Cricetulus griseus: one gene and its partner. The protein of the gene in region 2 purifies or fractionates together with the protein of the main gene of each other region. This does not show direct contact. Links are inferred from orthologs where the notes say so. Each region holds a gene or a part of one and is shown on either strand. Other genes may lie near its edges.

Region 1 (5,804 bases), on a different chromosome or scaffold from region 2:
CAATTAGTTCTATGTCCCTTTTAAAGCCTAGAGTACAGCTCTGTTTCCAGTGCACCCAAATCCCTAGCAGACAGTGATAAAGACTGACTGAGTAAATGAACACTGGGAGGTTGAAGGAGAGCCTGGCTGGATTCCCATGCTCCATCCCCAGAGGCAGCTCAGAACCTGGCAGGCAGGGCCTGGGCAAGGTTTTCCCCTGCCAATCCCATGCCCTCCTCAACTGTGAAATGGGCGGGTTCCTTGCCCACTATGCAGGGGCCATGAACATCATGTCTTGATTATGAAGGCAAGGGGTTCCTCTCTTTTATCAATCTGCAAAAAGGAAGCCAGATGATTAGTTTGGCAAGCTATTTAATTCACTCAGCACACATTTGAGGTATAATTAGGATGTTAACTTGCTGAAGGGGTGAGGAGAGACATGGAGAAGGCAAGGGCATCATCACACAGGGCCTGGTGGGTTCCTCCTAGAAATGTCTAGGCTTTAGGTGTTCATAGGCCCCCTTGGGCTGTGCTTGGAGAAGAGACTTTAGGAGGAGGCTGGGAGACAAGAAGGGTTCTACTCTGGTCCAGAAAGATCAGTGATGGTGTACTGGGCTTGTTGAGGGCTTGGGCAAGATGCTAAGGGAGTGGCTTCCCTATTGTTTCAATTTTCCTCCTCTCGGTTAAAATCCCAGAGAGAGAGAGAGAGAGAGAGAGAGAGAGAGAGAGAGAGAGAGAGAGAGAGAGAGAGGTCCCTGGGAGGACAGAGACACATAGATATACTCTTGTTCCCCTGTGCCAGCACTGATTCCTGGAGGGCACCCACTGTAGGTATTACCCGGAGCCCTGAGGACCAAAGTTTGAATCTCTCACTGGGTTTCTGAGTGAGAGGTCCTCACAGCTACCACAGTATAAACTCCACCTGCATTACTGTGGTCCCCCAAGAGAAATTCTGCAGAGGCCTCTATGGTCCATTTGGACAGTATGGGAGTACCGTATGAATGCTGCATCCAGGAAAAAGCCAGCAAAACTTCACAGAGGGCAAAAACTAGAGCCCCCAGGGATCCACAAGGCTCAGTGCATCAGAGGCCATGCTGAGGTTCAAATTCCTTTATCAATAGTGGCAAAGGAACTGCATGTCTGGTGAGATAGCTCAGCAGTTAAAGGCACTTAAGGCCAAGCCTGATGACCTGAGTTTGGCCCCCCCCAAAAAACGATAGGGTGGAAGAAGAGAACTGACCCTGCAAGTTGTCCATTGACCACCACACATTTGCCCTGGCTTGTGCATGCACGCACAAACACACAAGTCAGGCCCGGAGCAGAGCACCCAGGTGGGATGGCTCACAGTCCCATTTATAACTTCATTCTAGGGAATCCCATGTCCTCTTCTGGTCTCGAGGCCCTGTACATAAGTGCATAAGAGTCATTTCTAGCAAATATTATAAAACTTATGTTTTGGACAGTAATTACAATCATTATCTCCCCTACCTTGTAAGACTTTATGGAGATATTTTAATCTTCCCTACCCAGTAAAACTTTTGTTTATACATTGCCCCCCCGCGGCCCCCCCCCCCGCTCCATTCTAGGAATTTGCTGGCTTGGAGAAGTGACCCCATCCCCCTTTCTCCTCCACTCCTTCTGTACCATTTTTTTTCCAAACTAGCCAATTGAATAAGATTGTGAGGTCACCTGAGTTAGAATAAAAACCAAATGTACTTCCTGTCTCCTTGTTTGGTTTTCCCCAGCACTGTCTTGATCAAGAGCAAATTTTGCCTTGTTCAGACATTTCAGTTAGAATGGTGGTCTCTTTCTTGGCCACTTCGAACGTATTTCTAACATACATAAATCAAAATAGTCTTCAAAACACTAACAGTGACAGCTGCTGTCATTTTTTTCTTTTTATAAACTTGAGGTCTCTGCACTTGGCCTACTGTTTCTCATTAAGTTTTACGGACATCCTTGCCTTGAGGGGTAAGGTGGTCTCCAAAGGCCGGGGACCTGGGATTTGAAATCCTGTTCTCACAGTGCTTGCCTCCGGGAAAATGGGAGGATGAGCCTGTGCTGCTGGGCAGCGGGGAGATGGATCGTGACTTTTGCTTTCTGAGGGATCCGAGGCGGGGACAAGGCCTCTCTGAAGCTCGCGACGGCTTAGGCCTCTCGAGAGTTCCAGCACGCTACAAGGAGCGCAGGGCGAGCCGCACGCACAGCAAAGGAGACCCCCATTCCCGACTGCAAGCCCCGGGGGCCGCCGGGAGCCCCGCCCCCATCCGCCCCGCCCCGCCTCCTCCCCGGGCGCGGACAGCGGCGCTCACGTGACCCGTCCTGCGCCGCGGGCCGGAGGGCGCAGCTCGGCGGAGGCCTGGCCAGGCCGGGCCAAGCGAAGCAGGCCGGAGCGCGCCGCGCGCCAGGGAGGGTCTGGGCGCCGCGCCTCCCGCCGCGCCCGCTCGCGCGCTCGCAAGCCCTCCCTCGGCGCTGGGACCCCTGGCGGGCGGGCGGCCGGAGGACATGGCCGGCGACGCCGTGCAGGTAGGAGACTGGTCCGCACCCGCGGGGCGGCCGGACGGCACGAGGACCCCAGGCACCGGGAGAGCCCGGGACGAGGTCCCCTTAGGGAGTTCGCGCGGGCCCTTGTAGCAGGTCGGGGCGTCGAGGTGCTCGGAGGAAGAGGTGCTGTTCGCGATCCTGCCACCGCACCTCCTCCTCCGGCCCTCCGCGAGAGTCAGCGGGCGCAACGGGGACGCCGCTTGGGTGTCCCAGGCCAGCTGCGGGTTCCGTCCCCACGCCCTGCTCGCCCAGGACCTCAGCGTTCCGTTTCTGGCAGGTGCCGCTTTACCTGGAGCAGGTGCCTGGCGCCCTGCCGCGCGGCCCGTGCCCCTCCCCCGCACAACAAAGCCGGGCCACCCCCGCCCGCAGACGTCTTTACGATGATTTTGACGCCACCAGATGGGCACCTGTTGGAGGAAGTGCCTAAGTCACTTCATTAGGCCAGAGGCCGGTCCCCCCCGCCCCCGCCCTTAGTCACCCTTCAGCCTGACAGATGGAGCCATATCTCAGGTGGGGCGTGTCCTGTCACAAAGGCAGGAAGGATTTTATGTCTGGAAGGCGACAGGACTGGGTAACCGCATCCTTGCAACAGACACCTGTGACTGGCATCTGCCAGCCCATGGCCTTCCCTGTGTTACCTGTTGGGCATTTCTGAACTCACCTTCCCAAGAGGAAGCAGGGTCAGGATCACTTTCCACTCTCTAATTTAATGACCCAAATCTGAGATCTTGGTATCTTTGTGACTCCATTAGTTCTTCACCATGAAGTCCATTGTCCTATGTAACTGGTTTTCATCTTCTGCACCTGCCCCGTGTCTCCCCTGCACCCTCCTGTACCCCTCTTCCCCAGTCCTGCTGATGGCCTGCCGGCCTTGCCGAGGAGCTGGGCGTATCTGGTGCTGCCGATCTCACAAGGTCAGACCTCCGGAGAGGCGTGATGCACTGGGTGCTGGCTCCCCTTCAAGCCCACAGAGGGCTGTGGAGGGCTTTCCCAGAGCGTGCATGTGCTTGGGGTGTCCCACACAGGGCACATATGGAGGCTGTGATTCCCAGAATGAGTCTGGACCAACATCTCGTCTCCTCTCTGTCTTCTCCCTTAAGTTCATTCCTGCTTGGACTTGCTGCCCTGCCTCACTACCTCCATGCCTGTCTGTTCTGTGTCTGGCAAACGGATGTCCTGTCTAGATTCTGGGAACGCCCCAGGCATTGAAATCTCAGGATGTGGGGTTCTGGATCCCTAGCTACTTTGCCAAGAAGGTTTCCCAAGATGAGAGTTCTTGGTTTGGTGTCTCCAGGTCTGTGATGGCAGGTGGAGAAGCTGATGTTCTAATTCTTCAAGACCAGGCCAAGCATTTGCCCTGCTGCCCTTAAGTGACTCCTTGGCCCTGGGCAAGTGAATCACCCAGGGGAGGAGGACCCAGGAGGCCTTCCTTGCATGCGTTACACATTCTCAGGCCTCCTCTACTGGAGGTGGGGCTGAGAGCCTTCACTTTTCCTCTTTGCCTGTATGCTCCCCATTTGAACTGGCCCTGCTCCTGGCTGTGTACCTGCTTTGCCTGATGGTGGGGGGAGGGTGATGGTGAGGGACCGTGGGTGGGGCCCAGTCATGCCAGAGTGTTGTTTGGTGAGGCTGGGCTTAAATCCAGTGCTGTCTTCCCTGATGAACTCCTGGGTGAAAGCCATTACTTTTCTGAGTCTTGTTCCTGTTTTGGAGGAGGGAATGGGGTTATGAATGGTTATGAGAAGAGAGGTGGAGTCTCAGCCAGTGCTCTAAGGGCCTCTGTGACGTCTTTACCTGTGAACATGGTGCTTGGTAGTCCAATCCGGGAGCCCATGCCTCTTCCCAAGGCCCCAGCACTGGTATTTGGGTCTGGATCGTTTTGTGGCGGGGGCTGTCCAGTGTGCCTCAGGGTGCTGAGCAGCAGCACTGGCCTCCACTTGACAGGTGTCTCTTGTGTACCTTGGTTGTAATGACAACCAAGAATGACCCCAGACATTGACATGTATTTCTAGAGATGATGAAAAAACAACCCCATCTTCACTGAGAGCCACTGTTACGGCCTTTTTGAGTCCCAGTTTCCCCCCATGGTGACTACTATTCAGAATAGTAGTCACCATGGGGGGGATGATATATAGAGAGGAGATGATAGGATCATAGATCTGTGCTCTTGACCTGCAATCTTATCTACTCTCCAGGAGGGCTTAAGAGCCTAGGAGAACTTTGCTCACAGTGGTAAGGTGTGGTGCACATGGATCCCTCCCAGTTAGTGTTAGGAAGCTTGGCCCTATCTCTTGCTGGCTGTGGGATCTTAGGGCAAGGGGGCCTTAGGTAGTTTCTTCCTTTCTTCTTTTTTTTGGTTAGGGTCTCACTGTGTAGACCAGTTGTCTTGGAACTCAGACATCCTCCTGCCCCTCTTGCTGGGTATAGGGATCAAAGGCACGTGGCAGAAAGCCTTGCTGGGCCTCAGTTTCTTCATTTTGCAGATAGTTTGATTTCTGTCTATGTATCTGAGGCATCTGCATCATGCTGTGCCAGATGTGAAGGTGCACGCCACAATTCTAGAACTAGCAAGGAGGAAGCAAGAGGGGCAGGAGTTCAAGGCCAGCCTTTGCTGTGCATTGAATGCAAAGCCACCTTGTGTTACATGAGACCTAGCACAGAACACTATGAAGCAAAACAAAACAGGTAGTACCTGTAACATGGAATGACATTAGTTGAGACTTGGATGGATTGTGTAGCTGCTGTTGTTGTTACTTACGAGGTTCGGAGCTTGTACATTCTACCAAACTTCACCCACTGCTGTTACTACTACTTTTATTGATTTTATTGTTTTTAATGATGTATATTGGGGGGTATGTACATATACCCGAAGAAGCCAGAGCCATCATCAGATCCACCTGGAACTGAAGTTACAGGCACTGCTACTAGGACCTGAACTCAGGTCCTTTGGAAGAGCAGTGTGAGCACTTAACTGCTGAACCATCTGTCCAACAACACTCCTACTATTTTTAAAAATGTTTTTGTTTTAGAGCAGTTTTAGGTTCACAGTAAAATCCAATGGAAAATAGAATGTTTTCATATATACCTTGTCCCTGATACGTTTTAACTGTACCACTGATAGTTCAGATTTAGTGTATATTTGGCAAACAAGTGTGGTCTCCTATTTGGGGCCACTCAGGGCTGTCTTCTCCTGGAGTGAACTTCAGGGAGCTACTGTTAAGGCAGGTGGGCCCCCTAGGCTCCCAAGCTGAGATCAGCCGTGGTGGACATCTGGGTAGGGA
Region 2 (5,812 bases):
CCACGGCTGAACAATAGTCACCATCACCAGAGTAATAGGGGAATTGTGGCTGGAGTGAGCCCCAACGAAATAAACTCCGAAGTCACTCATTTTTCAAGTGCTTTTACAACTCCCTCACTCCCATATATCCCTAAATAACATTCCCAGAATTGACTGCCCTAATCCAGATAGCCTCTTACCCTGACATTCCTTGACAAATGTACTGTTCTTTGTCTAACAGATATATATGCATCATGCTTCAATTATTTGTGTGGACTTCACTTTCTTGTAAAAATCCCTCTGTGCACATAAAATTAATAAGACTCTTATGGGCATCTCTTTTTAATCAGATCTTGGGCTAACTGGGTTTCTCAGTCTCACCAGAGTCCACATAAGACCTGGGAAAGGGAGAGGGGCAGGATTCTGGTCTTACATGCTAAGTATGGAAAAAGGAGAATATTGGTAAGAAAGCAAACCATAGTGACATATTTCAGATCTGATTGTCCTTGGAGCACATATCAAGCTTCTTTCTAGTCAAATTGCCTTACAGATAATGAACCTTAAAAACTGTCATGTCCCAGAAAAAGTTCAAGATATCATCAGGATAGCAAAATTAGCCCTAAGCACAATAAGCCAAATAAAATAATTGATGGTCCAGTGAAAATTACAAGGAACTTGTATGCACAAAGCAAATTTTCATCTCAGGAAGAGAACAGCATTCTTCAAAAGTACTTGTGTTTCACCTATGACTTTTAAAACTGGAATCTTTTTAAAGACTACTTTACTTATTCTTGGACACTTTGAAAACTATTCCTTAAAATAAATACATTTCATTTTAAAGTTCCTGTATTTTACCTATTTATAGCCATACAAAAAATTATGATAGGGTTAACAGAGTGCCTTTTTCTAAATAGAATTTAATATTTAACACATAGTCTAGTTTTTGTTTTTTTTTTAACTGAGTGTATTTATGAAACATTCTTTTCCAAAACAGTAAGCAGATAAAAAAATACTTGTACTTCTAAGTGTGACTCATTTGTAAACATCATTTCTTTTCTGTAAGGTTTCATTCTGTTGTTGTTGTTGAGACAAGGTTCTTTTTACATAGCCCTGGTTGTTCTGGAACTCACTTTGTAGACTAAGCTGGCCTTGAACTCAGCGATCCTCTCTGACTCACCAAGTGCTGGAATTAAAGGCGTGCACTTCCACAACCAACCATTCTAGGGGGAAAAAAAAAATCCTCCAAAAGCCCAATGTGTGTGCTTTCATTCTTTTTGAAAAGCATGTGGGGTGCTTAATAGAATTTGTTGAAAAAATCGGTATGGTATCCGGGATAAAAGTAACTTATATTTTGTGAAAGTGTCCCAAGTGGGATAATGGGCAGACACCTTTGCTGTCTCTATCAAATAGATAGGGCTTCATTTAAGATTTCATTCTTTTGCTTATGTGTATGTATATGCAGGGTTGTACACATGGGAGTGCAGATGTCTACAAAGTTTACAAGAGGGCTGAAGCTACAGGTGGTGGTGAGTGCCTTGATATGGGTGTTGCTAACTAAATGTGGATCCTCTGTAAGAGCAATTAGTGCTCTTAACCATTGAGTCATCTCTCCAGCTTTCAATACATGAGATTTTAAAATGGAGTATAAGAAACCTGGAGGGTGTACAAGGGCTCAACTTGGTATACTGATTACTTATCTTTTCACTTCAATAAAGTTTTAAGTTTAATATTACCACAGGCTTTGATGACTAACTACAAATCAGATGTTTCTATATTTGAGCTGGTTTCAGTTCAGGTGATAAGTGATTCACCTATATAGCTACCAATTAAGTCCAGCCCTTCATTAGGTAGAAGAATAACTTCACATATCCCATCTTCATGGGAGCCCCTCTTGCCTTCAACAGACTAGGCTAATGCAGAGAACTGGCCTGACACCTTGGTGAGTTCCCTAAAAGGGTCTTCATGTACTCTAAATACATTGGGAGTGCTTCCTCCCACAAAATCCCAAGTAGAGCATTTTCCATAATCATTAATTTTGACAAATCACTGGATCAGGAAGCAGCCATGTCACATTTCCAGCTGTTCTAATTCTTTCACCTGAGATGCAAGGCTAACGGTTAAGTATGATTTCTGAGATTCCCATATCAGGAGCCAAGAAACTTGTGTGCAGAAAAGAATTTAGGTTTTTAGTTTTCTAGCAACATCTTTATGTGAATGGTATGTTCAGAAATATTTCCAAGCATTTTTTTTTTAACTTCCTAGACACTAAAACCTATGGTAACCATACTTCTTTTGTTCAGCATCCTGAGAAAGAGGAACAAGAAACTAATGAACCCAACATTATAGTGGGATGTGCCCTATAAGCACCTCAAAAGATAAAGCAGGAGTGAGGCTGACAAGATGCTTTTCCTGTCTTTCATGAGCCACTGCTGAATACCGAAGGGCTTTTAGAAGCAATACTTGAAACAAAACATTTATGCACTGACAGAAAGTACCTTTTCCCATCACCTGATTCTAAGATTCACCTGATCTTAGAATAAGAACTTAGTTTTCAGACCCACGCTTACAGTGTTCACTTTTCAGTATTTTATGATAAAAATAAATAGAAAGTGAAAAAAGTAATACTCTTGGGAATCTTGGAAACGAAGACATAAACACACACTTTCATTTCATTTATTCCACTACTTTTTACAAAACTCCATGGCATTAAAACAATCTCCTAAGTCCTAATTTACTGGTAAAGGAACAAGTTCCTATGTTTTAAACTAAAAAAAATGTTATACATGCTAAAAAATGAATTTTTAAAAATAATTGATTATTCTCTAATAAAACTTTCAATGATTGAAACACTGTATATCTACGCTGCCCAATATAGCAGCCACATGTAGCTGCCTGTGCCCTTGACATGTATTAGTGTAGCTGAGTTACTGAATGTTTTAATTTTAAAGCATTATAATGTTCACGTGCGGCAGGCGTCTTCCATATTGGGGAACACATCACAGAGGTTCACTAACTTAAAATCCATCTATCTGAATTCTAAAACCCCACAGTTCAAATCAAGGGCTCATTAATAAGACAAGGCCTGTTAACCTACTCTGAGAAAACAAACGCATTGTTTGCCTTTATTTATTTGTCCCAGCTCAGTGTCACAACCAAGTGGGCAATACTGGGAAGGGTAGTAATACAACTTTCTACCGTCGTCATACCTGAAATAGGGGCTGATTGCAGCAAGAACGTTCCTATGGCAGGAAAATGTTTTCCCGTGATCCACTTCCACTACAATGTCTGTCAACTGTCCTTCATCGTACATTGTTTTGAGTTGCTTAAGAATACTGCAAGCATGGAAGGGGTCCATGGCTTCGTTGGCTGTGTCTGAAGATGGAATTCCATTCGTTGTTGGGGAAGACTTACTTAAATCTAGGAGGAAAAAATCGCACAGACACAAGAAGTTCGAAGCCAGTTAAGGCGTCCGTGGGTTTTCAGCCCTCACCCTTTACACAAAATCCTGTGTCTAGGCACAGGACCGCCCATGTAGGCTCTGGGAGACGAGAGCCCAGCGAGGGCGAACAAGTTCCCAGGCCGGTGCGCTCCTTGGGAGCCCGGCGAGCCCGGACCGCCGCGCTCGTGGAGGGAGGGAGGGTGTGAGGCGAGCTAGCCGAACCGGCGGCGGCGGCGGCGACTCGGCTCGGGGCCGAGCGCGGAGCTAGAGCCTCCCGAGGGCAGCGCGACCGAGGGCGAACGCCAGGGCGCCCCTCAACCGCCTCGCGGGCGGCCGGTACCCAGACGCCGCGTCTCTGCGGGCGCGCCGCCCACCGCCCTCCTCCCCATTCATCTTCGCCCCCGCGCCCGCCGCCTCTCCATCCTTCCCTCCCGCCTTACGGCCGCCTCTCAGGTCGGGGCCGGCAACCGCGCTCCTGCTCCCCTCCTCCAGCACCGTGGCGGCCGCACCACGCCACCCACCTGCCGACGCGGCCATTTCTCCAAGGGGCCCCGGCTCCGGTTATTTAAAGAGGAAATGTCATTGCGCTTCGCTCGCTCCCGGGTTCCGGCTCTACTAAGCGTCGCCTAGCCAATGGGGGTGGCTGACCAGGCCGGCTCCTCCCCCGGCCTCGAAATGCATAGCGCTGATTGGTCAGTATTCGAGCACTTGCGCATCGGGAAATGTAGTTTTAGTGTCGCGGTTCCCGCGTGCTCCTTGTCGGGCAGAGGCTCAAGCCGGGCGTTCCTATTGGCTAGCTGGGAGGAGGTGGAGAGCCCTGAACCCGCCAGCTTGTGCCTGTGAGATAAGCAGCGCCCGCCGGGAAATGTAGTCCTCTGGCTGAGGAGCGCTGTCACTCTGAGGCGTGAGGTAGGAAAAGCTCTTGTAGCTCACATTTCCCTGGCTAAGGCCTCTCTCCGTTTTAAAAATCAATTTTTTCATTCCCCAAACTCCCTTCCCGTGACTAGATTCCCCGTATGAAAAAGCGCTCTACATGACGGCTTTGAAACTCTGAAAAGTTGGAAATGGTCACCAGGGCTGTTATCCAAAAAATGCAGAGGAAATAAGACACCCCGCCCAGAAGAAAAATATCAGTAGGCCCCAAAGCAAACCTCTGATGAGTCACCTGTGACGTCCATTTGAAATTGCATCACCTTAGTCACATGCCCTGCTTTTCACAGATCTGGATCTGGTTACAAGGCCACTCAGGACCAGAATCCACTTGGCTTACCTTTCTAGCTCACCCAGGAAACACCGGTGCCACTGAAGAGTACAGGAGCATTAGGGCGGGGGTGGGGGTGGGGGAGGGGCTGGAGCGGGGCGGGGGCGGATGATTGATTTCCCCTGGGCCCCTTGACAGTGAATAAGTCCTCTGGGCTGGAGAGAGGCTGAACCTGGGACAGTGCTGGAGAGAGGAGCTTGCCAGGACAGTGCTGAAGTCCTCCTGACTCCTACACAAGCTCTTCCAGCTCTTGAACATACATCCCTTACCCTAACATCTAATCACCATTAGCACTGGCATTCTGTCTACCTCATAGTCTTCCCCAAGAAAGCAGGAATTTTATCCATCCCTGTCCATCCATCAGATCCGTTGAAATGCTTATAGAAGCCTCATGCAAGCACACCATCAGCCCCAGGTGAACGTACTAAAGGGTCTTGAAATTTTCATCTATGATTGAAAAAGACTGGGTATCATTTAAAATAGTTGAGTTCTATTCCCTAAGTGTTCTAGAAACTCAAAGTCCTGTCAGGGCCGAGAGAGATGGTTCTGCTTCATCTTGGCTTAAGGTCAGAGTTCAAAACTGAATCCTTACTCTTCCAAGGTTAAAGTCTTTGGACCTAAAGGTCTAAGGTGTGGCTACTGTAGGATGTTTGGTATTGGTCATGGACATCTTATCTAAATAAAAAGCAACTTGCTCTGAGGCTGTGGTTACTCTGGACCCTCAAGATAACAAGAAATTTAGTCTAAGTCATGGTTACCAAATGTTTGGAGAATGAAGGAAGAAAGTCTATTTCTTCCTTGTATCCAGTATTCACTGGATTGCCCTTCTGACCCTCTTCTGTGTCTTTCTCTTCCTGAGTATCTTTACCTGCCATTTCTCAATCCACACTCCCCCTCTCAGGTACAAACCAGGCAAGTCAGCTGGATCTGACTGAAGCCCCACAAAGACTGGTTACAACAAAGTTCCGAGTACTATACTGCTATGTGAATGAATGAGATGTGCTTCCTGGGAATCGGGGCTTATGGACATCATTCACAGTCCTTATGAAACATGAAAGGCTTGCTTATCAGCATAGTCTGTCTATACACGATGGATTTGATTTCACTTTTTGTTAATTCTAATTTGAATTTGC

The links. Proteins that work in one complex are often made in the same cells at the same time.
Region 1: the proteins of Kbtbd8 (region 2) and Pkn1 purify together in Homo sapiens (affinity purification with western blotting; 3 studies listed by BioGRID and IntAct, with this or other methods). This does not show direct contact. The link is inferred for Cricetulus griseus from reciprocal best matches to the Homo sapiens genes KBTBD8 and PKN1.

The regions. Positions count from the first base shown.
Region 1 is NC_048596.1:160,715,691-160,721,494, forward strand, and holds the start of Pkn1 (serine/threonine-protein kinase N1), read left to right. Parts: upstream 1-2,308; 5' UTR 2,309-2,484; coding exon 2,485-2,505; intron 2,506-5,804. UniProt on the Homo sapiens protein: PKC-related serine/threonine-protein kinase involved in various processes such as regulation of the intermediate filaments of the actin cytoskeleton, cell migration, tumor cell invasion and transcription regulation.
Region 2 is NC_048601.1:48,704,020-48,709,831, forward strand, and holds the start of Kbtbd8 (kelch repeat and BTB domain-containing protein 8), read right to left. Parts: upstream 4,039-5,812; 5' UTR 3,956-4,038; coding exon 3,940-3,955; intron 3,397-3,939; coding exon 3,186-3,396; intron 1-3,185. UniProt on the Homo sapiens protein: Substrate-specific adapter of a BCR (BTB-CUL3-RBX1) E3 ubiquitin ligase complex that acts as a regulator of neural crest specification.